2 linked regions of the Lonchura striata genome follow. Each later gene encodes a partner of the first gene's protein in a complex. Links are inferred from orthologs where the notes say so. Each region holds a gene or a part of one and is shown on either strand. Other genes may lie near its edges.

The links.
Region 2: the proteins of calpain-2 catalytic subunit (region 1) and CAPNS1 are in contact, whole or in part, in a crystal structure (PDB 1KFU), measured with the Homo sapiens proteins. The link is inferred for Lonchura striata from reciprocal best matches to the Homo sapiens genes CAPN2 and CAPNS1. Residues at the interface, in NP_001739.3 of Homo sapiens: Ala2, Gly3, Ile4, Ala5, Lys7, Leu8, Ala9, Arg12, Glu13, Glu16, Phe60, Arg366, Arg416, Arg417, Arg418, Arg420, Asp494, Ile516, Phe551, Glu575, Lys578, Val581, Asp582, Asp585, Gly588, Ser589, Gly590, Gln641, Leu642, Gln644; in NP_001003962.1 of Homo sapiens: Thr85, His86, Ser88, Asp111, Asp112, Met113, Glu114, Ser116, Thr118, Asp142, Arg145, Ser146, Ala149, Val150, Met151, Asp152, Ser153, Asp154, Thr155, Thr156, Gly157, Gly160, Phe161, Glu163, Asn206, His208, Leu209, Met212, Ile213, Arg215.

The regions. Positions count from the first base shown.
Region 1 is NC_134607.1:21,346,496-21,361,671, reverse strand, and holds the start of calpain-2 catalytic subunit, read right to left. Parts: upstream 6,374-15,176; coding exon 6,137-6,373; intron 5,368-6,136; coding exon 5,298-5,367; intron 1-5,297. UniProt on the Homo sapiens protein: Calcium-regulated non-lysosomal thiol-protease which catalyzes limited proteolysis of substrates involved in cytoskeletal remodeling and signal transduction. Proteolytically cleaves MYOC at 'Arg-226'.
Region 2 is NW_027461156.1:29,096-43,703, reverse strand, and holds the start of CAPNS1 (calpain small subunit 1), read right to left. Parts: upstream 7,892-14,608; 5' UTR 7,879-7,891; coding exon 7,844-7,878; intron 7,008-7,843; coding exon 6,974-7,007; intron 6,068-6,973; coding exon 5,978-6,067; intron 4,986-5,977; coding exon 4,928-4,985; intron 4,782-4,927; coding exon 4,717-4,781; intron 4,575-4,716; coding exon 4,506-4,574; intron 3,754-4,505; coding exon 3,675-3,753; intron 2,376-3,674; coding exon 2,259-2,375; intron 1-2,258. Other genes in the region: CLIP3 (CAP-Gly domain-containing linker protein 3), read right to left, coding at 12,772-12,826, 14,045-14,114. UniProt on the Homo sapiens protein: Regulatory subunit of the calcium-regulated non-lysosomal thiol-protease which catalyzes limited proteolysis of substrates involved in cytoskeletal remodeling and signal transduction. Essential for embryonic development.

The sequences.
Region 1 (15,176 bases):
TGGAGCCAACAAACACTAGCCCTGCACAGCACAGGCTGCCTGGACAGTGTTTTTCCACACCATCTCCTGCCACACAGAGAGAGGAAGAGACCCCAGCTCTATAAACATTACACCTCTACTTTCTGTAATTCTTTTCAGAGCACAGTTTTACTTTAGCAGAACAGTCACCTTTCTGCTCAGCCATGAGCCTCCTGCAGCCCATTAGTGAGGTGGTCAGAGATTTCCAGAGCCAGATGATGCTCTGACTGCCACAGCCCAACACAAACCTCCTTGTTACCATCCCCAGATCCGCTGTTCCCTTGCTTTGTGAACAGAGGGCAGCTGGTATTGTACATGAGATCCCACAAAACAGCCCTGCAGGACTGCAGCTTCAATGTGTGAACCTGCCACCACCTTGCTGTCAGCAAGCTAGAGGCCAGCAAAGCAGCAGTCCCTACCTCTCTCCCCTAGAAAAAGGCTCAAAAGCTTATGGGTGAGAAGAGGGGATCCAAATGGGACAAAGTCTCAGGGTGAATGAACCCTAAAGCAGTCCTCGAGGTCCACCCTCAGGCCCAAATCCATCAGTGCTCACACAACACCAGCAGGAACATGGACAACCTGCAGCTCCCTCCAGGCTGCCCTCGCTTGGCACAGCTGCCTCCCAGGTCAGCTCTGAGAAATACATCTGTCCCACACATCTTCTCACACCTCAGGAAAGGTGGAAGAGGTGAAATTGCAGAGTAATTTCAAAACCTAAAATGCTTATACTGCTTCACAACCTGGAGGGGAAGAACCGAGCATAAAACTTCCCCTTCAGCCCCGCCTCTGTCTGCTTGTACTGCAATGGAAAAATCAGCATGTCAGACAAGTTTCTAAACAAGAAAGTCACCTTGCTATTCTCCTGCGACAGACTACGAAGCAATGATGCAATTCCCCTCCCTATTCTGTCACAGCACATCCACTTTGCCCTGCAAAGTGGTGACTCCTCTCACAGCCTCCTCCAAGGAGCTGAGAACCTCTTCCCTGGGAGCTGCATGCAGAGGTAGCACTATGTACTGCAAAGGTGTTTGCTGAGAAAGACAAGGCCAGGAGGAAAGAGTCTGGCTCAGAGGGCAGCTGTCACACCATTCTTCTCAAGAAAAATTAGTATTTTATTCCATACCCAGGGCAGGGGCTGGGCAGGCAGGGAGCAGCACAGGAAGAACAAATGGACCACTCAAATGGCCACAGCAGCTCAGGAAGGCTTGGTCAAGAAGCTGATCAGGCCTCCAGATGATGAACATACACTTCAATGCTGCAACACATCTTTGAGTCATGCTTCCTCTGGAGGTAAGAAGCATGGAAATTCAAGGAGAAACACCCTTCAGAGGACCACCACACCCACAAGGAGAATTTATAAAGAATTTCCTTTGCTTTCTAGCTGTCTCATCAAGGCAGACTGAAATTACAGCATGTTGTAAAATCTCTGTTGAACTTTATACTGGCTTCTAACAAGAATTTGAAGTAAAACACAAATCTTAACTCTGACAGCTCTGGGCAAGGTCTTGAGGTTTAAAGGCAGCTGCAGCATATATGGAAGACAACCTTTGGTTTCCACACTTAAAAGTGCCCAACAGCCAGGATATAATCTCTACCTTTGTGAACAGCCATCACTGTTCACAAAAAGCACACCTGATAATCCAGACTCCAGATGAGAACAGATCTAATGATTATACCTGGAATCTTACCACTAAGCAAGCTTGAGCAAGGTCTTTACCAAATAGCCTGAACATCCAGAACTGGTGCTTCTGCAAGGTTCTTGACAGTGATTTTCCTCTGATAGGGAAGGAAAGCCCAAGGAGAGGCTGACAGACAGTTGTTTAGAGCCTGAAAGGAGTGTTAGCAAGGCTACATTTATCATAAATAATTTTTGTAAATGAACAGTGGGCAGGACAAGGTTATCAGAAAAGGGAGTATTCTCAGGCTGTGAGTTTATCAATAACACATATTAACAAGAAGTACTATTTTTTTGTCCTATCATGCTTACTTTTTCCTGCTTTCAGTGTTTTACTTGTTATTTCCATATACCCATGCCTGCATTTACCTAATCTCCAGCGGTAACAAGAACACTAGGAAAAAAAAAAGTAATTGCAAGGTAAGCATAAATAGCTGTAAGAGCTTAAAATTAGCCATTCTGGAAAGAAAAGGCAAACAAAATACACCCATCAAAATGCCTGAAGGCGTGTAAGCAAAAGGCAGCTCCTCTGGACACTGCACAGCTCATGCAAGAGTATGGGGTAAAAGGAAAAATGTACATTCTGCCAATCACAGACTCATCATTATTTTAAAACACTCTTAGATGAACAGCTACTGAATGTATTTATATTAATACCACAGCACTCCAGAATGTTTTCTGGTTACAAACATGAGGCTGTGGCAACCCACTGGCAGTAGAGTGGCTGTCAGCATGAGGAAACCAAGGGTCTGATTTTCAAATTCAACCTATTCAATTTGTTATTTTTTTACAATGGGCCAGCCTGTGAGCCCTCTGCTTTTGCCAAGGCTTCTGCTCAGTTTGTGCAATGGCAACTCCTTGGCGGGGCTCTCCGGGGAAGATCTGGGAGCTGCAGGGATGTGCCAGGGGACAGTGGGGATCAAATGGCTTAGCCTAGTTGTGAGTGCACAGTCTGGAAGCCTCTCTCTTGTCTTGCTTGACAGAAGGAGTTTAGGTGGAGGATGTCCCAGAGATATGAGGAGAAGTAAAGTGAAGTGAAAGCAGTAGGCTCCTACTCCACAGCTGTAGTGAGTGAGAGGGGTTTGGATTAGACAGATAATGTGTTTGAGGGAAAGTCTCATGTGGGAAACATGACTAATATGAGCTGTGTTGTGCTGCTGCACTTGGCAAAGGAACCAAATTCTGTTTGTTTGCTTTCAGATATTCATCACATTACATCTTCTTAGTTTTTAGTCCCACTGCCGCTATTTGTAGGTTCATGTCCAAAAATGTAACAGGCAGAGAAACTTATATTTTATGCCTATGTTTTCATTCAGATGTTTTTTAAGTTAGTGCTTTGACAACCAGATGCAATTTGTATAAAAAATCCATGACAGTAAAACTACTTAGATTATGAACTCAGTTCTCCTCCTGCCCCGATATCTTTGGTGGTGTGGGTTAGACTCTGTTGTGCCTTGGGTTGTTACCATGTCACCAGCTTCCTTCCTGTGCTCTCTCCATCCAATACCACGTCTCCTGTCATGACTGTTTTGGCATGAAGCATGTCCCAGTGCTTAAACACATGTACCAGACATCTGTTATCTCTTTTAATTGTGAAGCTTTCTGGTAAAAAGTTCTTCAGATTGAAATTAAAGTTTACTGTAATGCCATGTCAACATCTGGCATTTCTGTAGAGATGCTGGTTTCTGGAATCACTTAGATGCTTTCTGGTTTTCTAGCTTTTCTCTGCAGATGCTGTGGCAGCAAGAGCATAGGAATGAAAGATTTGAAGCTTCGTTTTCAAGTTGTGAAATTGCTGTTGCTAATACCAGACACTGTTTTTAAATTGATGAAAGCATTTGCTGCCCTAGTGGTCTTTGGACCAGTCAGATGTTCCCATGGGGTTGTATGGTATCACCAGAGGATATGAAGTGACTCACAGCTGGTATTTTTGTACCTCCTGAGTATATCTGAATCAGAGGTTGTCAGTGTTCTTGTTTATATTTCCTCTTTCACTGTCTCTAAGTACTGCAGTGACTCTCCTGGCTGTCTTCTCATGAATCTGGGCAGGATTTTGGTCTTGTGTGACAACTGTTGATTAAAAATTAGATGCTTTTGATCTTTTCTCTGTATAGCCACTGAGTTCCTAAGAGCCTGGATGGAATCTCTGTTCTTTCACACAATGGGGCTGGCAAATGCACTGTACAAATTCTTTTTTTTTTTTCAACTGCCTTATCTGACACTAGCATTTGTATTGATAAATTTGCCTAAGCTTGCATTTACTTGATCTTTGTATTTACTTTTAGTGTCCATGTCCCATCACATTTTAGGATGTTATAGAGAAGATTTCATTGGAAGATATCAGGTGCTTTTGGAAACCTGTGCTTTTTATTATACTGCTTCTTTTCTATAGGAAGCTTTTGCAGTCTAATCCCTCAAAGGCTTGATCAAGAAGCAACAGACCTGTGCCCATGGGGAGTTTCACTGCTGTTGCTGAGCCCTTCAGATCATCTGGGAGTACTGCAGGGAGAGATGGGGCATCCAGAGCACATGGACTCATCACATCTGCAGGGCAGCTTCTTGGCAGGAAATGTGTAACCAAACAGTTCAGCTAATGAGCAGGGTTTCTTTCAGCTCAGTAATCTTTGGCCAGGTGCATAAATTTGTTTAATTGTGTTTCACCTGGACTATAAGAAACTGTGATCCATGTAAGGCAAAGCTGATCATCAGTGCAGAAAAGGTTTTCCAGGCACCAAATTCTTCCCCTTGGGATTTGGATTATCCTTTATTCTGGCCTTGTGAAGTTTTTTGGTTTTGGTCTGTTGTTTTTGGTCTGTTGTTTTTTCCTTAGGAGAAGCTTTTGAAGGAGAGTATTTGGAGTTGGTTTTGCAGTATCAGATCTGCAAAGTCAGTGATGGTATTTGGCTCCAAATGGCAGCACATGGGATGTAGTGACTCATTACAGCTGAGGGGAGGTTCCAAAGCCAGAGAAGCCTGGTTCACCCTTAGCCACCTTTTTCTGGAGTGGATGTCACCATGGTATCACAACACTGGGGTGTAAACAGCACTGGATCTCCCAGCTGCTGTTTGGATGCAGGTGTCTCCTCCTCACGTAACAAATCACAGGCTGGCCCATTCCTCCTGAAACACCCAAGTTTTGTCTTCCTCAAGAGCCGGTGACCCCCATACAACTTTTCTATCTACAGCATCTCCCCAGATTTCAGGAGATTCCTCCTGCCCAGCAGAATTCTCTCCCACTGGGGAAAGAGAAGTCATGCTACACACACAACTGCTCTTCCAAGCAGACTGTTAAAGGCAGAAATGAGTCAGGCTACTCTCAGGCATATGGATTTGAATGTGAAAGGAACAGGATATGATCAGAAAAACCATCAGGAAACCAGTGTGTCCCACCCCTGCTTGGTGCATGCAGAAAGACTGTGCTCAGTAACCACACTCATGGTCCCCACCTGCAAATGCCAAGGAAACATGAGAAAGGTCTGATTTGAAATGAATGGAGGTGGTAGGATGCAAAAGGAGGTATTAGAGTGAGTTACAGCCATGCGTAAACCATGTTGCCCTGGGGCAGCACCTGCATGGAAAACTCAGGTTTCTGCCCCCACCTTACCTAGGGCCCCTTGGCAGATGTCCGTGCGAGTGGCTCCGCCGGCTATGAACTGGGGGTTGGGAAACAGCTCCTGGGAACAAAACAGGCCTTGCATTACACGTAGCCACAGGTGAGGCAGGGAACAAGGCCACACTTGCAGCAAATTAACCAAACCATTGACCACGGGAGATGAACACCACAGAGATGGAGCAGGGCAGGAGCGGGTGCGGGCACCACACACACCAAGCACAGTGAGAACGGGAGCTGGTGACCAAAGCTCGTGTGCGGCCAGCTCACTTCACAGGACGTGCCAGGAGGTGCACTGCATTTCCACACATGTGCACACGCTGCTCTGCCATTACCTCCCCACCACTGACTACACCAAGGTCCTTCAGAAGTGCCTGGAGGCACCCTGGAGTCCTCCTGATCCCATGGCTCCCATGGCTGGCAGGGCTGCTTCGGGAATAAACCACACGGTGGTCAACTCACGGCTCTGCTGAAGGAAAGAGTTATCAGAAAAGACAGCCCCAAGCGCTACCCAAAGCGGTTTGTCCACACGGAGAGTTCTGGATGGAGAGGAAAATGACTTTTCTGACTTGTTTTCCAGGCAGAGCAAGTCACGCTGCCAGGCTGTCGCCAGAGCAAAGGGGATCCTCCGGTGCCCCGAGCATCCGCAGCTGCACCAGACGGGCGCGATGCTGCAGGACGGGAGGGCTCGCACCGCGCTCGGCAGCCGCGCCCCGACCCGCCGCCCCCGCACCATCCAATCCACCCAAATTCACGGAGCGAGGGAAGGAGGAAGCCGGGTGATACTGCAGAACGATGCTACCGGGGAGCCCCCCCATCCCCCGCCGCCCTACCGTGGGTCTGCGCCAGACGACGCCCTGTGTCTTGTGCGAGCGGGGCCCCAGCTCCCGGTAGCCGAGGGCGGTGGGGCCGGCGGGGAAGGAGGGGTCCTGGAAGAGCCGCCCCTCCTGCAGGCACTCCTGGCGCAGGGTCCCGAAGCGCTGCCCCAGGTAGGGCACAGCGCGGCCGTGCCGCCCCGCGCCCGCCGCCGCCGCCCGCTCCTTCGCCAGCGCCTCCGCCATCCCCGCCATCGCCGCCCCGCCCGGCCCGGCACAGAACGGCCCGGCCCGGCACGGCGCGTCCAGCCCCGCCCGTCAGCCCTCCGCTCCGCCCGGTGCCACGCCGCTGCTCAGCCCCGCCGCACCCCCGCCTTGGCTCGAGTGGCTCTGTGCCGGCAGCCGCGGTCCGAGCAGCTTCCCCTCCCGTGCCTCCAGCTCGCTGCCCCGTGCAGGAGCATCGCTGCCTCACTGGGCGCCTCAACAGCTTCACACCTGCTGGTGATCCTATTGCCACATGTACGCATCAATTCAAGAAAGCTGGTATTTTCCGTGTAAAAGCCAGAACTATCCATATAAATTCTCTAAGTTTAGGGAAAAAAATAAAAAAACAAAACAACCCCCCCCCCAATAAATTTTCTAAGTTTAGGGAAAAAAAATAAAAAAAAACAAAACACCCCCCCCCCCAAAAAAAAAACAACAACAAACAGACAAACAAAAAGGAAGGGAAAATATGTGTCTCGAATCCCACTATGGTATGTCTGTACCTGTGTTGTCACCTTGTTACAACTTTGAACATCGCAAGTAACAGAGATCACTTAGAGCCTGATTTGCTGGTGGTCACCACAGCACATGTTTTGCCACTGCTGGTGTGGACCCACCTGCACTCCCGGCACAGCCCAAACCACAAACAGTGAGGTTCCCCCCAAGCTTCCCGAAACACCTATCTGTGGTGTGGGGGGAGAGAGAGTCTCTGTTTTTGCAGTGAGTTGGCTGCCAAGAATGGCTGAAATGCTGCTGCTGGCACCCGCATAGAACAGCAACTCTCTGAGGGAGAATTCAAACCATTTGTTTCATATTTTAAGTCTGACTCAGGATGTGCTGGTGCCAGGCAGTGTTCCCTGGGCAGCACACAGAGGCCGGGAGCCCTTCATGCTGCACCCACCGCCCACAGTGGCACCTCTTTCTGCAGAGTTTTCCAAGTCCTGGATGCATGAAACAGTGCTTTGGAGCCATCCTATCTGACTAAAATGAACATTATTTCTTGAAGATGCTTAAACAACCTAAAATTACTGGCAGTACCATTTGCTGAGGTGTGGTGGGGAGTTTTCCTTCATTGCTGGTGCATGATTCTCCAAACCATTGTGTATCACTGTCCGTTTGCTTGCTAGTTTTGCACTTTCATCATTTATTATTCCTCTTCCTAAGCTCAGAACAGGTCCTACTTGCACAGTTCATGAGAAGCCATTGTCATTAAACAGGAAAAAGAGCTAAGCATTGCCCATTCCGTTCCCAGTGTAGCAGAGGAAGCCCCCAAAATCTATTTGAAGTTAGTCACTAATGGTCTGAGCAGCACATGTCTGTGTAGATCATGGCCACGCAAGAGGACAGCCCAGTTGTCCAAACCTGGAAGGCACAGTCCAGCTTCACTGTTCTTTGAAGATGCCTCCTGTCCCCTATGAGTCAGAAAGGCTCTCTTTATAAAGAGAATATTGGAATTTCTAGCAGTATATGGGAAATCAATCACACATGGAAAGCTGGAAGCAGAACCAGTAATGTTACATGCACTCAATTGAGGGTGTGCTTTTAGCCTAGCATAGGTCTCCAGCATGGCTGTGCTGAAGCTCGAGGAGGACACAGAGTGGCATTGGAGGATGGTTTTGCTCAGCTGTTTAGATTTGTTAAGCACTGCTGAGTTATCTCACAGGCAAGGCCATCTCCTGGACCAGGAGACAACAGCACCTCACCACCTGGAGTTTAATCGGCTGTGTTGCATCCTAATGTGAGGGATCTGGGAGCCATAGAGCTACTCAAAAAGTGTTTCTTTGGCTCCATGCAGTGCCTTGAGTCTGTACAGCTGCCACAGGTCAGATTTCTCTGGTTTTACGAGAGTCAGGGTTACAGGAAACCAGAGTCAGTTCAAAGCAATGGTTTCCACTCACAGTTTTGGTTTGTGAACACTTCTGCTCTAGCTATTTTCCAGCAGATGCAGAAGTTTGAGCTGGGTTGAAAATTTGACATATAATTGCTTTTCTTAGCTATCTCTACCACAGTGGAATCTGCTGGCGGCTGAGAACCTCTGCTGGACAGCAATCAAAACCAAGTGTGTGCAAGACTCTTACCTGGCTGCTCTGCTCAGTCAGAGCTGCCAGAGTTTTCTTAGAGTATCTGTGGTGAAATGAGGGTTAAGACTGAGACAAACAGTAAATGACATGAACAGAAGGGAACAAAGCCAGAAAGAGACTGAACCAGCAATGATTCAATTAAGCAGGGGGAGAGGGACCTGGGCAATGATGGAAAGATGTATATTTGCCAGCCAGGCTTGTTAGATGGTCCCAAACATATAAGGACCATGCTGTCCCATGTGGTTTAATGACAGGATAAGGATATACTGGTGTAATACAGAATTTCTCTTGTTATCTGGGAAGTTGGCTGTCCCAGCAGCCATCTGAATAGCCCCTGCCCACCAAGTCCTCTGCAGCCAGGTAATTCACCTGCTTCTACTTCCAGCACAGCAGCAGATGTGGATGGGAGTCCACAGTTTGAGGGAAGGAAGTTCTTTTGAGCACTACACCAGCCAATTTCTTCATTTTCTACATACTCACACAATGCACCCATTTTTTTTTTTTTTTTTTTTTTTAGAGAAAGAGGTGATTTCCACTTGACTGTGAGAGCAGTGTAATACTCTTAAGTAAAAATAGCAGTTCCATCAATAGTTACCCACTTTTGTCTCCCTCAAACCAGGCAATATCAGAAAGAAAAAGAAATCAGATTTCTTCTTAATCTCCCTGTACACCTGTAGCTCTTCAAAGAAGTCACCAACTCACATTTTGCAAGTGAGTGATTTCAGCTTTTGCTGCAGCAGCTCATTCTAGCTCCTGATAAGGAGCATCCAGCTGCCATTCACAGCATGGAGTTTCAGGCAGGATAGGCTTCTCTTTCACTGTGCCCACACTCAGCAATTGTGAGTAACCCAGAGCTGCTTTGCTTTGCATCATCCCTCCTCTCTCTTGCTCCTCTGTCCTTTCTCTGTACATGGATACTGGGGAACAAATGACTAACAGCTCAGGAAGGGAGGAAAGGACCCGTGCACCTTCTGGGCTCCTGTTCTCCTTCCCAGGAACTGCCCCCTCCTCATTAGGATGAGGGTGGTTTCCCAGGGGAAGAAGCTTGCAGTAGCAGTAGTAGTATTTCAAGAGGAAGGGAATTGCTTTCCTGTCTGAAGCTGGGATCTGGAGAGGTACTGAGCTTTCCCCAACATTACAAGCTGGCTCCAGCCCTGGCCAGTTCAGTGTGAGGTGTCAGAAAGACCTGGGTCATCCTGCAAAATCCAGCTATCCTTCCCAGCTTCCTTCCCAGTGCTGAACCATCATTCTGGATCAGCCCAACTCATGAATTACTCAGGCATTACTTCTGCAGGATGTCATCTTTCTCCTCCTCAGGCACCAACAATTTCATGGCTTTTATAAAACAACCAAGCAGTATCAGAGCTAATTTTAGATGTGTTTCCCAATAGGGAAACTGCCAGGCTTCTTGTGGCAACCCTTCCCTCCCCAAACACTCAGATTAAAAATTGCAACCTTTAAAACAATAATCTTAGAGACAAACATTTAGGAACTTTCATAGCTCCCAATGGTGTTCCTATTGATAGTCACTCCATTGTCACAGTAATAGGGTGGATAGGAACCCATACATATAGAATATGAGAAAACAAGCTCTCTGAATGAAAATGATTTGTTTTTATGCTGCAGGGCCTACAGTAAGTACAGTGAAGCAGGTTTAATCCTCATCAGCCAAGTGATGCAGTACAAGAGAGTCCTCTTATTTCTCTCTAATGCTCTATATCAGAAACATACCTGAAGCTGCTGGGTAATCAGCAGTTATTTTCTTCTAAAGATTTCCCCATTTAAAGAACAGTCCTGACTGCATGGAATTTTCAGTCTCTTCTTTGAAATTCAGGTGATGCATTTTTCTGGTTTAATTGGTTCTTCTTTATTCCCCTTCATCCTCTCGCTATCATCACGAAATGGGGAGAGGGAAAGGAAAGCAAGAAGAGCCAGGCAAAAATATGCAAATCCCAGAGGCAACAAAAGTGAGAATAATTGTTATAACTATTAACCCTAAGGGTTAATGCCACTTCAGCAGCAGTATTTGAGTCATGGGGAACCTTAAATTTTTTTTCCTCCTATAATACAGCTGTCAGCTATTGCTGTAGTCAGCTATAGTCTTCATCATCTCCTTTATAACCTCTAGATGGTGCTTGTGTATCACATTCTACACAAAATAAAACATGCTGCTGCTAATCAAGCTTAGAAAATGGATTTGAAGTGCTGTGACAAATCACTGGAATCAAATAGTTGTGGTGGGCACACTAGGTGGTCACCAGGTCCAAACCTCCCCCAGAAAAAGGGGTTGTCCTCAGCCTCTTTCCAAACATAAAAACTGAAATTCATTATTAAAATCTGATAGTATTATAGAATGGTTTGTGTTGGAAGAGACCCTAAATATCATCTTGTTCCAGCTCCCCTATCATGGGCAGGGGCACCTTTCACTAGAATAGAGTGCCCAAAGGCTCATCCAACCTGGCCTTGAACACTTCAGGGATGAGACACCCACAGCTTCTCTGGGAAACCGGTTCCAGAGCGTCACCATCCTTACAGTGAAGAATTCCTACTTAATGTTTAATCTGAACCTCCCCTCTGTCAATCTGAAGATACATTCCTGTTTGTCTTATCACTACAAACCCTGTAAAAATTCCATCTCCAGCTTTCTGGTTGCCGCCTTTAGGACCTGGAAGGCGCTCTAAGGTCTTCCTGGAGCCTGTTCTTCTCCAGACTAAAAAAAACCCTGTTCTCTCAGGCTGTCTCCAGAGTGGGGGTGATCCTACCTTTCATCTGTCTTTCCCTGTTACACTCTGGTGATGCACAAGGGTTCACCCTGCTGAAGCCTGCTCACCTCTACCTTTCAGGAAAGGAAACAAAATCTTGTGATTTCAATGGGGATCAGTTTGGCAGCTTTGGTCCATGGCCCTGCACTTCATGGCATCCCATGCCTTTGGATGGATTTCACTTTGGTGAAGATTTTTTTTTTTTTTTTTCAGTATCTATACCATTTCACTCATATTTTCCCCTCAGTGTTCTCTCTTCCTCCTTGATTTTCCCCCTGATCTTGCAGCATCTCTGAGATTAGTTTTGGCATATTTTGCTCCTTTCCACTGCACATCATTTGCTCCCAGACCATTTTCTTGTGGTCACTGCATTTCCCAATTTTCCTTTTTTATTTTCTCAATCGCATTTCACTTGATCATATCTCCTTTCCAGAGTCTTTAGGAGACTTAGGAGACTTTCTTTTCTGTTTCACAAGATTTCATTTCTTTTCCCAAAAGGAACCAAAGTTTTGGCATCAAACAAATTTTTGTTAGTTTTTACTTGTTTTGGAAGTTACTCATGCAGAGACTATTTTGTACATATAAGATGGTGGTCCTATGAAGAAATCCATTTTCCATAAATATTAATTAACCCAGGCTGAGATACATAGTGTTGAAATTATAATTTTTTAAATGGTGGCTCTCTGACAGTTTTTACATTTCAAAAAGCTCCCATGTGTACTAGAATATAATACTAAGAGGCCATTAAATTCATGTTCTGCAGAAATATCTGATCTCCTCTTAATGACCATAGTACTTGACCCATTAATTGCCTTCTTCCTTCCCTCTAACTTCCTGGATAACTTCTTTATCAAGTATCTGAAGAAACCCATTCACAGGGGCTTGGTCACTAATGTAAGCCTTTCACATTGTGTAGGGGAGGGGTGTAAGGAGGACAGCATTCACAAGTCAGTGCTGTGAACGTGGCAAAGGAAGAATTAGAAAAATAATCCTGTAATAGTCCTATTCTGGTCTGATCAGCACAGTCATCATTTTTCCAGGAAGAAATGATTCCAGAAAAAGTGACAGGTTCATAGTCAAGATACTGACACAGATACATTCAGTCAAGGCAGCAGTAGGGATGGAAAATGCTGTTATTTTTCCATTCCAATGCAGAATAAATCCCTGCCTGTGTACATACAAGCATCCTGGGGCTTGGGTCATTTTTATGCTAGGCAGAAAAAACATCTACTGAGCGACACAGAGAGAAATTATAGTATATCAACTGATAGTATGACATTTCAGCTTCATTGTGGCAAAGGGGTCAGTAGTTCTGGTGACAGCCTCCCAGGGCCACTGAGAGGAAACAGAGCTTGAGATGGCTGTCATTCTGTCCAGGGATAGATCTTAAGGGTCTTTTCCAACCTAAATGACTCCACGATTCTGAGACCAGTATAATATTTGTCCTTGCACTATTAAAGGCTGTGGTTTTGTCACCCCCACCAGGCTGCCTCTGGAAACTTCCCTCCTTTTTTTTGCAGCTGTGAATACAACATGCTTACACTGCACCAAGCAGAAACACTGGGGATCCAGTTAGCTGAAGAGAAGACAGATTAGGTGTTTTGATAAACAAATGCTGCAATGTGAGTCGTGCAGCAGAAAGATCTGACATGGAAGAGGTGCTTATACAGCCACACTAATCAGGCCATAACTTGAGAGTGCTTTTATTGTAGTCATGTCCCAACAGCAGAGCTTGGATCCAGTTGATAGATGGAGACCTCTGATCACTGAATGGTGAGTCATTAGTGGTACCTTTTCCTTCTGTTTTCTCTCTTCCGATCAGTGGAATTCTGCCGCTTCCTTAACATTAGCTGCTTAGCAATTTCTCCATGAGTGATATGAATCCCTCTGCTCCATCTGCTCCCTTGCATACAGAACCACAGTTAAATAAAGGCTGGGCTATTTGAGCAAAAAATATGTGTTTCTGAGAGCCAAGGACTTGGTAGCAATTCTCAACTTGCAAATGTGGCAGTGTGCCCTTCTGTTGTGAGAAATGCCACTTTGAGGCCACACAGTGCTGATGCTGAGGCAGTTTTCCCGTACCATGCTCAAAGTCTTCCTGCACACACAGCACTTTACAAGCTGAAGCCTGTTCTCCTAGCCTGCCTGGAAATTAAGTTTTACTTGCCTATTTATCAGACTTGCCAGAGACAAAATGAAAAAGCTCCTTTGCAAAAACCTTCTCACTTGAACCACTTTGGGTTAGATTTGCAGGCATTTAAGACACCCCAAGTGCTGGTCAGATACCTTATGCAAAACACAGGTATTTAAGCAGATCAGGCACCCTCCTGTACTTGCAAGTTACAGGTACTTGGGATGCTCGTAAAACTATTGACAAGAAATCCCAACACCTCCTTATGCCCTGAGGCAATGACATGGCCATCTCCTTTTTTGGGTTAGACCAAACTTACTTTCCACAATGAAAAAACAATAGACAAATTAGAGAAGGTGCTTTACAGAAAGTCTCAATAGAAATATCAAATCTTAGGTCAGAATGCATATTAGGAGGTCCCTGGTTGTGTTTTCCCCTACTCTCTGGAATAATTTGTGACATTCTCTTTCAGAAACTGACTTAGTTTTAAGCATACATACAATTATTTCTGTGGTTTTTGTAATGTTCTGTGTCTTATCTACCACCCTTACAGCTGCAAAGCAGATTGATGATTTGGTTGAAGTAGACTATTCCTTAAGTGGCTTGTCAGCAGTATTCCAACCATTTATTGACCTGGACTTAAAGGTACTTGCCTGTAGTGCTGTTTGCCTACATTACTGTGGGGTCCATTATTCTATGAGACACATTTATAAGATGACTGTGATTGTACTCTGAACATAAAGGCTCACTATCTTGGAAGACAGACATTTCAAAGCATTATTGCATTTGTTACGGTAATACTTTGTAACAGTACTGTTGTGAAATGAGTTATTTAAAAGCCACATCCTTTTCTTTAAACTGCTGTTGAGTTGGTTGTAAAAAATAGAGAGTAGTTAAAGTTGACTAAACCAGATAGAAGAAAAGGGAAAGGGAAAGGGAAAGGGAAAGGGAAAGGGAAAGGGAAAGGGAAAGGGAAAGGGAAAGGGAAAGGGAAAGGGAAAGGGAAAGGGAAAGGGAAAGGGAAAGGGAAAGGGAAAGGGAAAGGGAAAGGGAAAGGGAAAGGGAAAGGGAAAGGGAAAGGGAAAGGGAAAGGGAAAGGGAAAGGGAAAGGGAAAGGGAAAGGGAAAGGGAAAGGAAAGGAAAGGAAAGGAAAGGAAAGGAAAGGAAAGGAAAGGAAAGGAAAGGAAAGGAAAGGAAAGGAAAGGAAAGGAAAGGAAAGGGAAAGGGAAAGGGAAAGGGAAAGGGAAGGAAAAAGTTATTAAACCTCATCTTTCTCTCTGTTATTAATAGCTGGGACTTCATTGTTCAGTCAGAGCAATATTTCTATACGTGTGACTAACTAGATATGTTGTCTGATGTCAGATGAAAGAGGTGAAGAAAGAGCACTAATATCAGAGCAAGTATTAAGCCCCTAGCTTCTTCAATGGGAAGGCAGAAGACTCTTTCAAAAGCATGGGAGACCAAGGAATGTTTCTGAGTCTGAGGACTTGAAAGTTTATTTAAAATTAAGAAAAAAAAATCTCTTTATGTACTGAAACTAAAATCTGACTAGTTCCTGATTCTAAAATGACTTCACTGTTATTCTGTAAAAGGTGATTTGATTGAGAGTGGTTGTCATTATTATAGTATCTGAGATCCTTAATTAAATTTAAGCTGCCTTGTGCTTGGTGCTGTACAAAGGCCAAATGAAAAGATAGTCTTGTCACAAAGATCCTATAAATTAAGTAGTAAAAAATGGACAATAGGGAAATAAGAGAGGTGAAAACCAAAAGGAACAAACATTAGTATCTGCTTGTGTGGTAGACACTAGTCTTAGCACA
Region 2 (14,608 bases), on another chromosome or scaffold:
CCCCCAATTTTGATATTTCCCCCCAATTTTGGAATTTTCCCCCCTCGATTTTGGGATTTCGCCCCAATTTTGGGATTTTCCCCCCCCGATTTTGGCTTTCCCCCCAATTTTGTTATTTCCCCCCCGATTTTGGATTTCCCTCCAATTTTGGAATTTTTCACCCCCGATTTTTTGGATTTCCCCCCGATTTTTGGATTTCCCCCCAATTTTGGAATTTTTCCCCCAATTTGTTATTTTCCCCCTGGTTTTGTGATTTCCCCCTAATTTTGGGATTTTTCCCCCCGATTTTTGGATTTCTCCGGCAATTTTTGGATTTCCCCCTAATTTTGGGATTTTTCCCCCCCGATTTTTGGATTTCTCCGGCAATTTTGGATTTCCCCCCAATTTTGGAATTTTTCCCCCCAATTTTGGAATTTTTCCCCCCGATTTTTGGAATTTCCCCCCCCCCCCCCAATTTTGGAATTTTTCCCCCCGATTATTGGATTTCCCCCAATTTGGGATTTCCCCCCCCCGGTTTTGTGATTTCCCCCCAATTTTGGAATTTCCCCCCCCCCGATTTTTGGATTTCCCCCAATTTTGGAATTTTTTCCCCCCGATTTTTGGATTTCCCCCCAATTTTGGAATTTTTCCCCCCCGATTTTTGGATTTCCCCCAATTTTGTTATTTCCCCTCCGATTTTTGGATTTCCCCCCAATTTTGGAATTTTTCCCCCCCGATTTTTGGATTTCCCCCCAATTTTGTTATTTCCCCCCCGGTTTTGTGATTTCCCCCCAATTTTGGATTTTTCCCCCCCGATTTTTGGATTTCCCCCCCGATTTTTGGAATTTCCCCCCCGATTTTTGGATTTCCCCCAATTTTGGAATTTTCCCCCCGATTTTGGATTTCCCTCCAATTTTGAGATTTTTTCCCCCCCCGATTTTGAGATTTCCCCCCGATTTTTGGATTTCCCCCCAATTTTGGAATTTTCCCCCCGATTTTGGATTTCCCCCCAATTTTGAATTTTCCCCCCCGATTTTTGGATTTCCCTCCAATTTGAGATTTTTCCCCCCCGATTTTGAGATTTCCCCCCCGAATTTTGGATTTCCCCCCAATTTTGGAATTTTTCCCCCCGATTTTTGGATTTCCCCCAATTTTGGAATTCCACCCCAATTTTGTTTTTTCCCCCCCGATTTTTGGATTTCCCCCCAATTTTGGAATTTTTCCCCCCAATTTTTAGATTTCCCCCCAATTTTGGAATTTTTCCCCCCCGATTTTTGGATTTCCCCCGATTTTTGGATTTCACCCTAATTTTGGAATTTTCCCCCCCGATTTTTGGATTTCCCCCCAATTTTGGAATTTTTCCCCCCAATTTTTAGATTTCCCCCAATTTTGGAATTTTTCCCCCCCGATTTTGGAATTTCCCCCCCCCCGATTTTGGATTTCACCCCAATTTTGGAATTTTCCCCCTCGATTTTTGGATTTCCCCCCAATTTTGTTATTTCCCCCCTGATTTTTGGATTTCCCCCCAATTTTGTTATTTTCCCCCCGGTTTTGTGATTTCCCCCCAATTTTGGAATTTTTCCCCCCCGATTTTTGGAATTTCCCCCCCCCCCAATTTTGGAATTTTTCCCCCCGATTTTTGGATTTTCCCCCCAATTTTGGAATTCTTCCCCCCGATTATTTGATTTCCCCCCGATTTGGGATTTCCCCCCCCGGTTTTGTGATTTCCCCCCAATTTTGGAATTTTCCCCCCTCGATTTTGGGATTTCCCCCCAATTTTGGGAATTTCGCCCCCCCCCCCCGATTTTTGGATTTCCCCCCAATTTGGGATTTCCCCCCCGATTTTTGGATTTCCCCCCCGATTTTTGGATTTCCCTCCAATTTTGAGATTTTTCCCCCCGATTTTGGATTTCCCCCCAATTTTGGAATTTTTCCCCCCCGATTATTGGATTTCCCCCCAATTTGGGATTTCCCCCCCCCGGTTTTGTGATTTCCCCCCAATTTTGTGATTTCCCCCAATTTTGTTATTTCCCCCCCACCCCCGATTTTTGGATTTCCCCCAATTTTGGAATTTTTCCCCCCCGATTTTTGGATTTCCCCCTAATTTTGAATTTTTCCCCCCCCGATTTTTGGATTTCCCCCCGATTTTTGGATTTCCCCCCAATTTTGTTATTTCCCCCCAGTTTTGTGATTTCCCCCCAATTTTGGAATTTTTCCCCCCCGATTTTTGGATTTCGCCCCAATTTCGGGATTTTCCCCCAATTCCGGGGTCTCCCTACGGAACATGGCGTCCAGGCGCACGAGGCAGCTGATGAAGTTGTCGAAGTCCAGGTTCCCCCCCTCGTCCCCGTAGCGACGCCCCAAAACCGCCCAAAGTTGGGGGGGCAGCCGGAACCCTGGGGGGGGGGGGTGGGATGGCCACAGGTGACCTTTGACCCCCAAAAAAATGCCTTCAAACCCCCCAAAAATTCCCCAATTCCCCCCAAAAACTGCCCCCCAAATATCCCCGTTTCCACCCCAAATAATCGCGACCCGACCCCAAATCCTTCAAACCGCCCCAAATCTTCCCCCCAAAATATCCCTGACCCCCCCCCCCAAAAAAAAACCAGCCTGGACTCCCCAAAACCCAAAATCTTGGGGGATTTTGGGGTTCCTGGAGGGTTTGGGGTAATTCCAGGGGGATTTTGGGGGTCCCATGGGGAATTTGGGGTCACCCCAGGGGGATTTTGGGGATCCCAGAGGAATTTGGGGTCACCCCAGGGGGATTTTTGGGGTTCCCAGGAGAATTTTGGGGTTCCAAGGATGACATTGGGAGTCCCAGGGGAATTTGGGGTCACCCTGGGGGAATTTTTGGGGTTCCCAGGAGAATTTTGGGGTTCCAAGGATGACTTTGGGAGTCCCAGGGGAATTTGGGGTCACCCCAGGGGGAAATTTTGGGGTTCCCAGAGGAATTTTGGGGTCACCCCAGGGGAATTTTTGGGGTTCCCCAGGAGAATTTTGGGGTTCCAAGGATGACTTTGGGAGTCCCAGGGGAATTTGGGGTCACCCCAGGGGAATTTTTGGGGTTCCCAGGGGAATTTGGGGTCACCCTGGGGGAATTTTTGGGGTTCCCAGGGGAATTTTGGGGTTCCAAGGATGACTTTGGGGGTCCCAGGGGAATTTAGGGTCACCCTGGGGGAATTTTGGGTTCCCAGAGGAATTTGGGGTCACCCTGGGTGAATTTTGGGGTTCCCAGGGGAATTTTGGGGTTCCAAGGATGACATTGGGAGTCCCAGAGGAATTTAGGGTCACCCTGGGTGAATTTTGGGGTTCCCAGGGGAATTTGGGGTCACCCTGGGGGAATTCTGGGGTTCCCAGAGGAATTTGGGGTCACCCGGGGAAATTTTGGGGATCCCAGGGGAATTTGGGGTCACCCGGGGAAATTTTGGGGATCCCAGAGGAATTTGGGGTCACCCCAGGGGAAATTTTGGGGTTCCCAGAGGAATTTGGGGTCACCCCCGGGGGGCTGGATTTTGGCAATCCCTGATGATTTTGCTGCCACCCCTCATTAATTCCAACCCTCACCCCTAAAAAACCCCCCAAAACTCCCCCATTTCCATTTCCTGCACCCCGAAACCTCTTCCCGCCAGCCCCCCCAAATTCCTTCCCCCCAAAAAAACCCAAAATCCCCCAAAATCCCCCCAAAAATCCCCAACCTGCGGCCTCGAAGGCCCCCGGCAGCTCCTGGGGCCCGATGGTGCCCGAGCGATCGCTGTCGAATTGTTTGTACACGCACTGGGGGTGTACAAATTTTGGGCACCAATTTTGGGGGGTCCCGCACCCCCAAAATCCGCCTCACCCCCTCCCCAAAACTCGGGGACCTTCCCAAACCCCAAAATTCCTCCCCCCGCCCCTCCCAAACCCCAAAAATCCTCCCCCCATCCCCCTTTAAAGAACTTAAAAAATCCTCAGTTCCAAATTTTAGGGGTGCCTGCCCCCCCTAATTACCTAATTACCCCACCCCCCCCCAAAATTTTGGGGTGTTTGGGGGGTCCCCTACAACCCCCCCTCATGGTTTTTAGGGGGGCTGGGATTTAAGAGGGGAAATTTTGGGGTCCCACCCCCCGGTTTTTTGGGTTCCTCCCTCGATTTTGGGGTGTCCCTGATTCTGGGCTCCCACATCTATTTTTTTTTTTGGGGGGGGTCACATTTTTTGGGGTGTCCCCCTAATTTTTGGGTCTCCTCCTAATTTTGGGATCTCCCCCAGCTTGGAGTAACCCTGGATTTTGGGATGCCCACCCCAGTTTTGGGGCCCCCATCCCCATTTTTGGGGTGGCCCCCCCCCAATTTTGGATTTTCCTCGATTTTGGGGCTCGTTTATTTTAGGATCCCCCCAAATTTTGCCTTCTCCCTCCATTTCGGGGTCTCTTTTCACCCTGAGCACCCCAATTTTGGGATCCCGTCCAACTTCGGCCTCCCACCCCATATTTTTGGGGTCCCCCCACCCCGATTTCGGGACCTCCCCAAAAAAATTTTGGGGTCCTCACCTGCCACTTCTTGATGTTGTTCCAGAGGTACTTGAACTCCTCAAACCCCAATTTCCCGGTGGTGTCGCTCTGGGGGGGCTCGTCAAGGACATTTTGGGGGGCACCGGGGACCCCCCCCATTTCCCCGCACCCCAAAACCTCTGGAGGATCCCCCAAATCCCCCCAAAATCCCCCCAAAATCCCCCAAAATCCCCCCAAAATCCCGGGGTACGTCCATGACGGCCACCATGCTCCGGCACGTGTCCAGCCCGAAGCCGTCGGTCTTCAGGTCGGGATCTGGGGGGACCACGGGGGATTTTGGGGGGGCCCCGAGTCCCAGAGCCCAGCAGGGAGCCCCGAGGGCACCCCAAAATCCCCCCCGAGCCCCGAGGGCACCCCAAAATCCCCCCCCAAGCCCCCGGGGGTTTTTGGGGGGCACTCACGGCGGGTGACGACCCTGTTGAGGATGTTCATCAGCTCGGTGGGGCTCACCTCCATGTCCTGGGGGGAACGGGGGGTCAGGGGGGGCTGCGGAGCCCCAAAATCTTGGGGGAACCCCCGAAATCCTGGGGGAGCCCCCGAAAGCCTGGGGGAACCCTCGAATTCTTGGGGGAACCCCCAAAATCCTGACCCCGAATCCTGGGGGAACCCCCAGACCCTGATCCCCTTAAAGTCTGAAGACTCCCAAATCCTGACCTCCAAAAACCCCAAAATCCTGACCCCAAATCCTGACCCGTCTCCGCAAAGTCTGGGGACCCCCAAATCCTGACCCCGAATCCTGGGGGTACCCCCAAATCCTGACCCCGAATCTTGGGGGACCCCCAAACCTTGGGGGTTCCCCCAGATTCTGACCCCAACCAAGAGGTTTCAAGGGATCAGGTGGATCCCAGTGTACCCCAGTACACCCCAGTGCACCCCCACGGATCTGGGGGTCCCGGGGGTCCCGGGGGTTGGGGGTGCTGGAGGTCGGGGGTCGGGTGTCCCAGGGGTCCCAGGGGTCGGGGGTCCCGGGGTTTGGGGGTCCTGGGGTCGGGGGTGTTGGAGGTCAGGGGTTGGGGGTCCCAGGGGTCTCGGGGTCGGGGGTCCCAGGGGTCAGGGGTCCCAGGGGTCGGGGGTCCCAGGGGTTGGGGGTGCTGGAGGTCGGGGGTCCCGGGGGTCCTGTGGGTCCCAGGGTCGGGGGTCCCGGGGGTCCCAGGGTCAGGCGTCCCAGGGTCGGGGGTCCCAGGGTCGGGGGTCCCAGGGTCGGGGGTCCCAGGGGTCCCGGGGTCGGGGGTCCCGGGGTCCCAAGGGTTGGGGGTCCAGGGGGTTGGCGGTCCCGGGGTTCCAGGGGTCGGGGCTCCCGGGGGTCTCTGGGGTCGGGGGTCCTGGGGATTCTGGGGGTCCCGGGGTCCCAAGGGTTGGGGGTCCCGGGGGTCCCGGGGTCGGGGCTCCCGGGGGTTGGGGGTGCTGGAGGTCGGGGGTCGGGGGTCCCGGGGGTCCCGGGGGTCCCTCACCTCCCCCGCCAGCTGCGTGAAGAGGCGCCGGAACTGCCGAACCTCCTCGCTCTCGTTGGCATCGACCGTGGAGATGTGGGCACGGGGGGGCTGCGGGCACCCCGAAAACGGGGTCAGGGCACCCCGAAAACGGGGGGTCAGGGCACCCCGAAAACGGGGGGTCAGGGCACCCCGAAAACGGGGTCAGGGAACCCCAAAAACGGGGTCAGGGCACCCCGAAAACGGGCTCAGGGCACCCCGAAAAAGGGGTCAGGGCAACCCGAAAACGGGGTCAGGGAACCCCAAAAATGGGGTCAGGGCACCCCGGAAACGGGGTCAGGGAACCCCAAAAATGGGGGTCAGGGCACCCCGGAAACGGGGTCAGGGCACCCCAAAAATGGGGGTCAGGGCACCCCAAAAATGGGGTCAGGGCACCCCGGAAACGGGGTCAGGGCACCCCAAAAATGGGGGTCAGGGCACCCCAAAAATGGGGTCAGGGCACCCCGGAAACGGGGTCAGGGCACCCCAAAAACGGGGTCAGGACACCCCGGAAACGGGGGGTCAGGGCACCCCAAAAACGGCGTCAGGGCACCCCGAAAACGGGGGGCAGGGCACCCCAAATCTGGGGTCAGGGAACCCCAAAAACGGGGTCAGGGAACCCCAAAAACGGGGTCAGGGAACCCCAAAGCCTGGACCCCAAACCCGGGGGGGGGATAGAGGACCCCAAATCTGGGAGGGGGACACGGAAGGGAGACAGGGGACCCCAAATCCGGGGTGGGGGGGGACAGGGGACCCCAAATCCGGGGTCGGGGGGGTCAGGGGACCCCAAATCCGGGGTTGGGGGGGTCAGGGGACCCCAAATCCGGGGTGAGTGGGACAGGGGACCCCAAATCCGGGGTGGGGGGGTCAGGGGACCCCAAATCCGGGGTGGGGGGTCAGGGGACCCCAAATCCGGGGTGGGGGAGTCAGGGGACACCCCGAGGGTCCCCAGGGAGGGAGGGGGCGGGGGTCACTTACGGGGGGCTCGGGGTTGTAGTGGGCGGCGGCTTCGCTGTGGGGGGGTGGGCAGAGGGGGTCACCCCAAAATGTCACCTGCCCCCCCAAAAGTGTCACCTGCCACCCCAAAATGTCCCCCCAATGTCCCCAACCCCCAGTAGCCGTCAGTGTCCCCCCCAATGTCCCCAATCCCTCCAACCCCCCCAGTGTCCCCAATGTCCTCAAATGTCCCCAATGCCCCCCATGTCCCCAATGTCCCCCCAGTGTCCCCAATCCCCCCAATGTCCTCAAATGTCCCCAATGCCCCCCCAGTGTCCTCAATCCCCCCAATGTCCCCCCAATGTCCCCCCAATGTCCCCCCAATGTCCCCAGCCCCCGTGTCCCCCGCTGTCCCCTCACCTGATGGCACTGATGACGCCCCCCAGGACCCCCAACCCAATGTCCCCCCAATGTCCCCCCAGTGTCCCCAACGCCCCCAATGTCCCCAGTGTCCCCAATCCTCCCAGTGTCCCCAATGTCCCCAGCCCCCGTGTCCCCCGCTGTCCCCTCACCTGATGGCACTGATGACGCCCCCCAGGACCCCCAACCCAATGTCCCCCCAATGTCCCCCCAGTGTCCCCAATCCCCCCAATGTCCCCAGCCCCCCCAATGTCCCCAACCCCCGTGTCCCCCGCTGTCCCCTCACCTGATGGCGCTGATGACGCCCCCCAGGACCCCCACCCCAATGTCCCCAATGTCCCCCCAGTGTCCCCAATACCCCCAGTGTCCCCAATGTCCCCCCAATGTCCCCAGCCCCCCCAATGTCCCCAGTGTCCCCAATCCTCCCAGTGTCCCCAATGTCCCCAGCCCCCCCAGTGTCCCCAGCCCCCGTGTCCCCCGCTGTCCCCTCACCTGATGGCGCTGATGACGCCCCCCAGGACCCCCATGGCCCCCCCGGCGCCGCCGCCGCCCCCCCGCTCAGGAGCCCCCCCAGGACGGAGCCGATGCCCCCCGGGAGGCCCCCCCGGACCCCCCCCCACCGCCCCCGCCCCCCAGCAGCCCCTTCACCAGGAACATGCCGGACTGGGAGCTACTGGGAGGCACTGGGAGGTACTGGGGGGCACTGGGAGCTACTGGGAGGGCACTGGGAGTTACTGGGAGGCACTGGGAGGTACTGGGGGGCACTGGGAGCTACTGGGAGGTACTGGGAGGGCACTGGGAGCTACTGGGGGGTACTGGGAGCTACTGGGGGGTACTGGGAGGGCACTGGGAGTTACTGGGAGGCACTGGGAGGTACTGGGGGGCACTGGGAGCTACTGGGAGGTACTGGGGGGCACTGGGAGCTACTGGGAGGTACTGGGAGGGCACTGGGAGCTACTGGGGGGTACTGGGAGGTACTGGGGGGTACTGGGAGAGCGCTGGGGGGCACTGGGAGAGCGCTGGGGGGCACTGGGAGCTACTGGGAGGGCACTGGGAGGTACTGGGAGGCACTGGGAGGCACTGGGAGCTACTGGGAGGGCACTGGGAGCTACTGGGAGGTACTGGGAGGGCACTGGGAGCTACTGGGAGGTACTGGGAGGGCACTGGGAGCTACTGGGAGGTACTGGGGGGCACTGGGAGGTACTGGGGGGTACTGGGGGGCACCGGGAGTTACTGGGGGGCACCGGGAGTTACTGGGGGGCACCGGGAGTTACTGGGGGGGCACCGGGGCGGCACTGGGAGCACTGGGAGCGGCTGGAAGAGAAGCAGACAGCACCGTTAGGCGACACCCGGGGTACCGGGGGGGTTCCGGGGACCCCCCAGACCCTCCCGGGACCCCCCGGGACCCCTCCCCGGGCTCCGGTCCCGCTCCGGTGCCGCTCCCGGGCGCGGCTTTCCGGGACTGGGCGGGGCCGCGCTGAGTCACGGTTTGGGGGGGGGGGGAGGAGAGCACCGGGAGGGTCCCGGGGGGTCCCGAGGGGTCCCGGGGGGGTCCCGGGGGGGTGGGGGGGGTTCGGTACCTGCGGGAGCGGCGCCGGTCCGGAGCGAGCGCGGAACCGGAACGGGGAAAGGGGCGGGGCCACGCGGGGGGGGCGTGGCCGGGGAGCCGCCCGGGGGCGTGGCCTCGGTGGGAGGGACCAATGGGGGCGCGCCCTGGGCGTGGCCAGGGGCGGGGGCGTGGCCTAGACGTTCATATCTCCTCTAATAGGCGGGGTTAACATGGGGGGCGTGGCTAACTCCTTGATTGACAGCAACGCCCCTTAGCGCCCATCAGAGTGGGCGTGGCCAGACGCGTGATTGACAGTCGGGCCCGCCCCACAGGGCGGGGTTATGCAGATTAACGGTGAATACCAAATGAGTCACGGCGTGACGTCACCGCCGCGCGCCGGGACAAGATGGCGGCGCTGGGGGGGGAATTTTTTGGGGGAGGAATTTTTTTGGGGAGGAATTTTTTGGGGGAGGAATTTTTTGGGGGAGGAATTTTTTGGGGGAGGAATTTTTTGGGGGGTTCCCTCCCCCACCCCCACCTCACTTTTGGGGTCTCCCCCAATTTTGTCCTCCCCCATCCACTTTTTGGGGTTCCCCCCCCCCCCCCCCAAAATTCCCCCCAAATTTGGGGGGTCCCCTCCCCCACTCTGAAGTCTCCCCCTCCCCCCATGTCCTTCAGCAGTTTTAGGGTCCCTCCGTGTCGCCCCATCCCAAATTTTTCCCCCAAAAAATCCCTTTTTCCCCCATTTCCCCATTTTCCCTCCTATTTCCCCCATTTCCCCCCCACAATTCCCAATTTTTTTCTCCATTTCCCCCATTTTCCCCCATTTTTCCCCCACTTTCCTCCTTTCTTTTCCTAATTTTTCCCCCTTTCCTCCCATTTCTCCTGTTTCCCCCCATTTTCACACATTTCCCCCATTTCCCTCCCAAATTTCCCAATTTATTTCCCCATTTCCCTCCATTTCCCCAATTTTCCCCCAATTTCCCTCATTATTTTCCCATTTTTTCCCCATTTCCCCCATTATTATCCCCATTTCTTCCCATTTTCTGCACTTCCCCACAAATTCCCCCATTTTTCCCATTTCCCCCATTATTTACCCATTTCCCCCCCAATTCCCCCATTTCCCCCCATTTTCACCCTTTCCCCCCCAATTTCCCCAATTTTCCTCACATTTTCCCCATTTTTCCCACAATTTTTCCACATTTCCCCCACATTTTCCCAATTTTTTTCTCCATTTCCCCAATTTCCCCCATTTTTCCCTATTCCTCCCATTATTTTCCAAATTCCCCCCCACAATTTCCCCCATTATTTTCCCAATTTCCCCCCATTTTTCCGTTTTCCCCCAAAATTTCCCCAATTTTTCCATTTTCCCCCAAAATTTCCCCATTTCCCCCCAAGATTTCCCAATTTCCCCATTTTTTTCCATTCCCCCCAAAATTTCCCTATTTCCCCATTTTTTTCCATTTCTCCCCAAACTTTCCCCATTTCCCCATTTGTGTCCATTTCCCCCCCAAAATTTCCCCATTTTTGTCCATTTTCCCCCCAAAATTTCCCCATTTTTTCCATTTCCCCCAAAATTTCCCCATTTGTTTCCATTTTCCCCCAAAATTTCCCAAAATTTCCCCCCAAAATTTCCCAAAATTTCCCCCCAAAATTTCCCAATTTCCCCATTTTTTCCATTCCCCCCAAAATTTCCCTATTTCCCCATTTTTTTCCATTTCCCCCCAAACTTTCCCCAGTTCCCCATTTGTGTCCATTTCCCCCCAAAATTTCCCCATTTTTGTCCATTTTCCCCCCAAAATTTCCCCATTTCCCCATTTTTTCCATTCCCCCCAAAATTTCCCCATTTGTGTCCAATTTCCACCAAAATTTCCCCATTTCCCCCCAAAATTTCCCAATTTCCCCATTTTTTCCATTCCCCCCAAAATTTCCCTATTTCCCCATTTTTTTCCATTTCTCCCCAAAATTTCCCCATTTCCCCATTTGTGTCCATTTCCCCCCCAAAATTTCCCCATTTTTGTCCATTTTCTCCCCAAAATATCCCTATTTCCCCAGTTTTTTTCCATTTCTCCTTAAAATTTCCCCATTTCCCCATTTGTGTCCATTTCCGCAAAAAAATTTCCCCATTTTTGTCCATTTTCCCCCTAAAATTTCCCAATTTCCCCATTTTTTCCATTCCCCCCAAAATTTCCCCATTTGTGTCCATTTTCCCCCAAAATTTCCCCATTTCCCCCCAAAATTTCCCAATTTCCCCATTTTTTCCATTCCCCCCAAAATTTCCCCATTTCCCCATTTTTTCCATTCCTTCCAAAATTTCCCCATTTCCCCATTTTTTTCCATTCCCCCCAAAATTTCCCCATTTCCCCCCAAAATTTCCCCATTTCCCCATTTATTTTCCATTCCCCCCCCCCCAAATTTTGCCATTTTCTCCCAATTTTTTCCCATTATTTCCCCCAATTTTTCCATTTTCTCCCAATTTTCCCATTTCCCCCCGAATTTCCCCCAATTTTCCGGTACAAAGGATTTTATTGGTGGCAGAAGCGGCTCCGGGGGGGCCCATGCGGCAGCGGGGGAGGGGAGGGGACATTTTTTGGGGGGAGGGGACATTTTTGGGGACATTTTTGGGGACATTAAAGCCACTGACACGAGCGGGGGTGGGGGAGGGGCGTTATTGCTCCTGCGGGGGTGGGGGAGGGGCGGCCAGGAGGGACCCTCTGGGACCCCTCCCCCACCTCGGGCCCTGGTTTTGGGGAGGGGTCGGGAGGGGGGGAGAAAATAAATAAATAAATTCTAAAAAAAAAAAAAAATCAAAATTTTGATATTTTTTGATCGATATCCCCAAAATATTATCCGGGAAAGGGGCGTGGCATCAATTCCCGACGTTAATTAATTCATTCATTCATTAATTCCGGAGAGAACAGCCCTAATTATTTTACTGGGGGGGGGGGGTGGATTCACCAAAAAAAATTTGGGGAGTGGTGGGCGTGGCATGGATCCCCCCCCCAAAAAAATAATCGATAAATTCCGGAGTGAACAGCCCAAAAATTGGGATTTGGGACCCCCAAAATGGCCCGGGAAGGGGCGTGGCCTCAACCCCCTTAATTAATTATTTAATTGATAGATTCCAGAGTGAAGACCCCCGAATTTGGGGTTTTGGGGGGTCTGGCCCCTCCCCCATCGCTGTTATTGGCAGGTTTGGGCCCAAATTTGGGGGTTTGGGGGGTCTGGGGGGTTTTGGGGGGTCTGGCCCCTCCCCCATCGCTGTTATTGGCAGGTTTGGGCCCAAATTTGGGGGTTTGGGGGGTCTGGGGGGTTTTGGGGGGTCTGGCCCCTCCCCCATCGCTGTTATTGGCAGGTTTGGGCCCAAATTTGGGGTTTTGGGGGGTCTGGGGGGTTTTGGGGGGTCTGGCCCCTCCCCCATCGCTGTTATTGGCAGGTTTGGGCCCAAATTTTGGGTTTTGGGGGGTCTGGCCCCACCCCATCGCTGTTATTGGCAGGTTTGGGCCCAAATTTTGGGTTTTGGGGGGTCTGGCCCCACCCCCATCGCTCTTATTGGCAGGTTTGGGCCCAAATTTGGGGTTTTGGGGGGTCTGGCCCCACCCCCATCGCTCTTATTGGCAGGTTTGGGCCCAAATTTGGGGTTTTGGGGGGTCTGGCCCCTCCCCCATCGCTGTTATTGGCAGGTTTGGGCCCAAATTTGGGGGAGGGGCCACGCCCAACGCCCCTCCCCCAGTGCGGAATGTTCCAGAAGGAACAGCCCGGGAGGAGGGGGAGGGGACAGGGGGGGACGGGGGGGGATGGGGCGGGTGGGGGAGGGGCTCCAAGGCACTGGGTGGGGGAGGGGCGGTGGGGGGGGGAGGGGCGGGGGGGGTTAGGATTGCATCTCCGCCCGGAGCATCCACGGGAACCAGCAGCAGAACAGCAGCCTGGGGACACGGGGACACCCATGGGGACACCCATGGGGACATGGGGACATGGGGACACCCCTGGGGACACCCCTGGGACACCCCTGGGACACCCATGGGGACATGGGGACACCCATGGGGACACCCATGGGGACATGGGGACACCCATGGGGACACCCATGGGGACACGGGGACAGGGGGACATCCCTGGGGACATCCCTGGGGACACCCATGGGGACATGGGGACATCCCTGGGGACACCCCTGGGACACCCATGGGGACACGGGGACAGGGGGACATCCCTGGGGACACCCATGGGGACACCCCTGGGACACCCATGGGGAGGTGGGGACACCCATGGGGACACCCCTGGGACACCCATGGGGACATGGGGACATCCCTGGGGACACCCCTGGGGACATGGGGACATCCCTGGGGACACGGGGACACGGGGACGTGGGGACACCCATGGGGACACCCCTGGGACACCCCTGGGGACACCCATGGGGACATGGGGACACCCCTGGGACACCCCTGGGGACACCCATGGGGACACGGGGACACGGGGACACCCCTGGGGACACCCATGGGGACACCCATGGGGACATGGGGACATCCCTGGGGACACCCCTGGGGACACGGGGACATCCCTGGGGACACCCCTGAGGACATGGGGACATGGGGACATCCATGGGGACACCCATGGGGACACCCATGGGGACACGGGGACAGGGGGACATCCCTGGGACATCCCTGGGGACAACCCTGGGGACATGGGGACATCCCTGGGGACATGGGGACACGCGGACATGGGGACATCCCTGGGGACACCCATGGGGACACCCCTGGGGACACCCATGGGGACACCGGGACATGGGGACATCCCTGGGACATCCCTGGGGACAACCCTGGGGACACCCATGGGGACATGGGGACGTCCCAGGGACGTCCCTGGGGACACGGGGACATGGGGACACCCCTGGGACATCCCTGGGGACACGGGGACACGGGGACATGGGGATATCCCTGGGGATACCCATGGGGACACCCATGGGGACATGGGGACATCCCTGGGGACATGGGGACATCGCTGAGGACACCCCTGGGGACGCCCCAGCAAGGACAGGTCCACCCCCAGGGACACCTCATGGGGACAGGGCCACCTCTGGGGACAGCGTGGGGACAAAGCCACACCCCGGGGACAAAGCCACCCGGCGGTGGACCTGTCCCTGTCCCCACCTGGAGAAGGAGCTCTCGGATGTGATGTCCTTGGGGGTCCGCACGGCCGGGAAGCGTTTGGGCTGTGACACTGCGGGGACACGGGGACACGGGGGACATGGGGGACACGGGGGACACAGGGGACATGGGGGACATGGGGGACACGGGGGACACAGGGGACATGGGGGACATGGGGGGACACGGGGGACATGGGGACACGGGGACATGGGGGGACATGGGGGACATGGGGGGACATGGGGGACATGGGGACACGGGGACACAGGGACACGGGGGACATGGGGGGACATGGGGGACATGGGGGGACATGGGGACATGGGGGGACATGGGGGGACACGGGGACATGGGGACACAGGGACACGGGGGACATGGGGGGACATGGGGTGACATGGGGACACGGGGACACAGGGGGGACATGGGGACATGGGGACACGGGGACACGGGGGACACGGGGACATGGGGGACATGGGGACATGGGGACATGGGGGGACATGGGGGACATGGGGGGACATGGGGACATGGGGGACATGGGGGGACACGGGGACATGGGGACACGGGGACACGGGG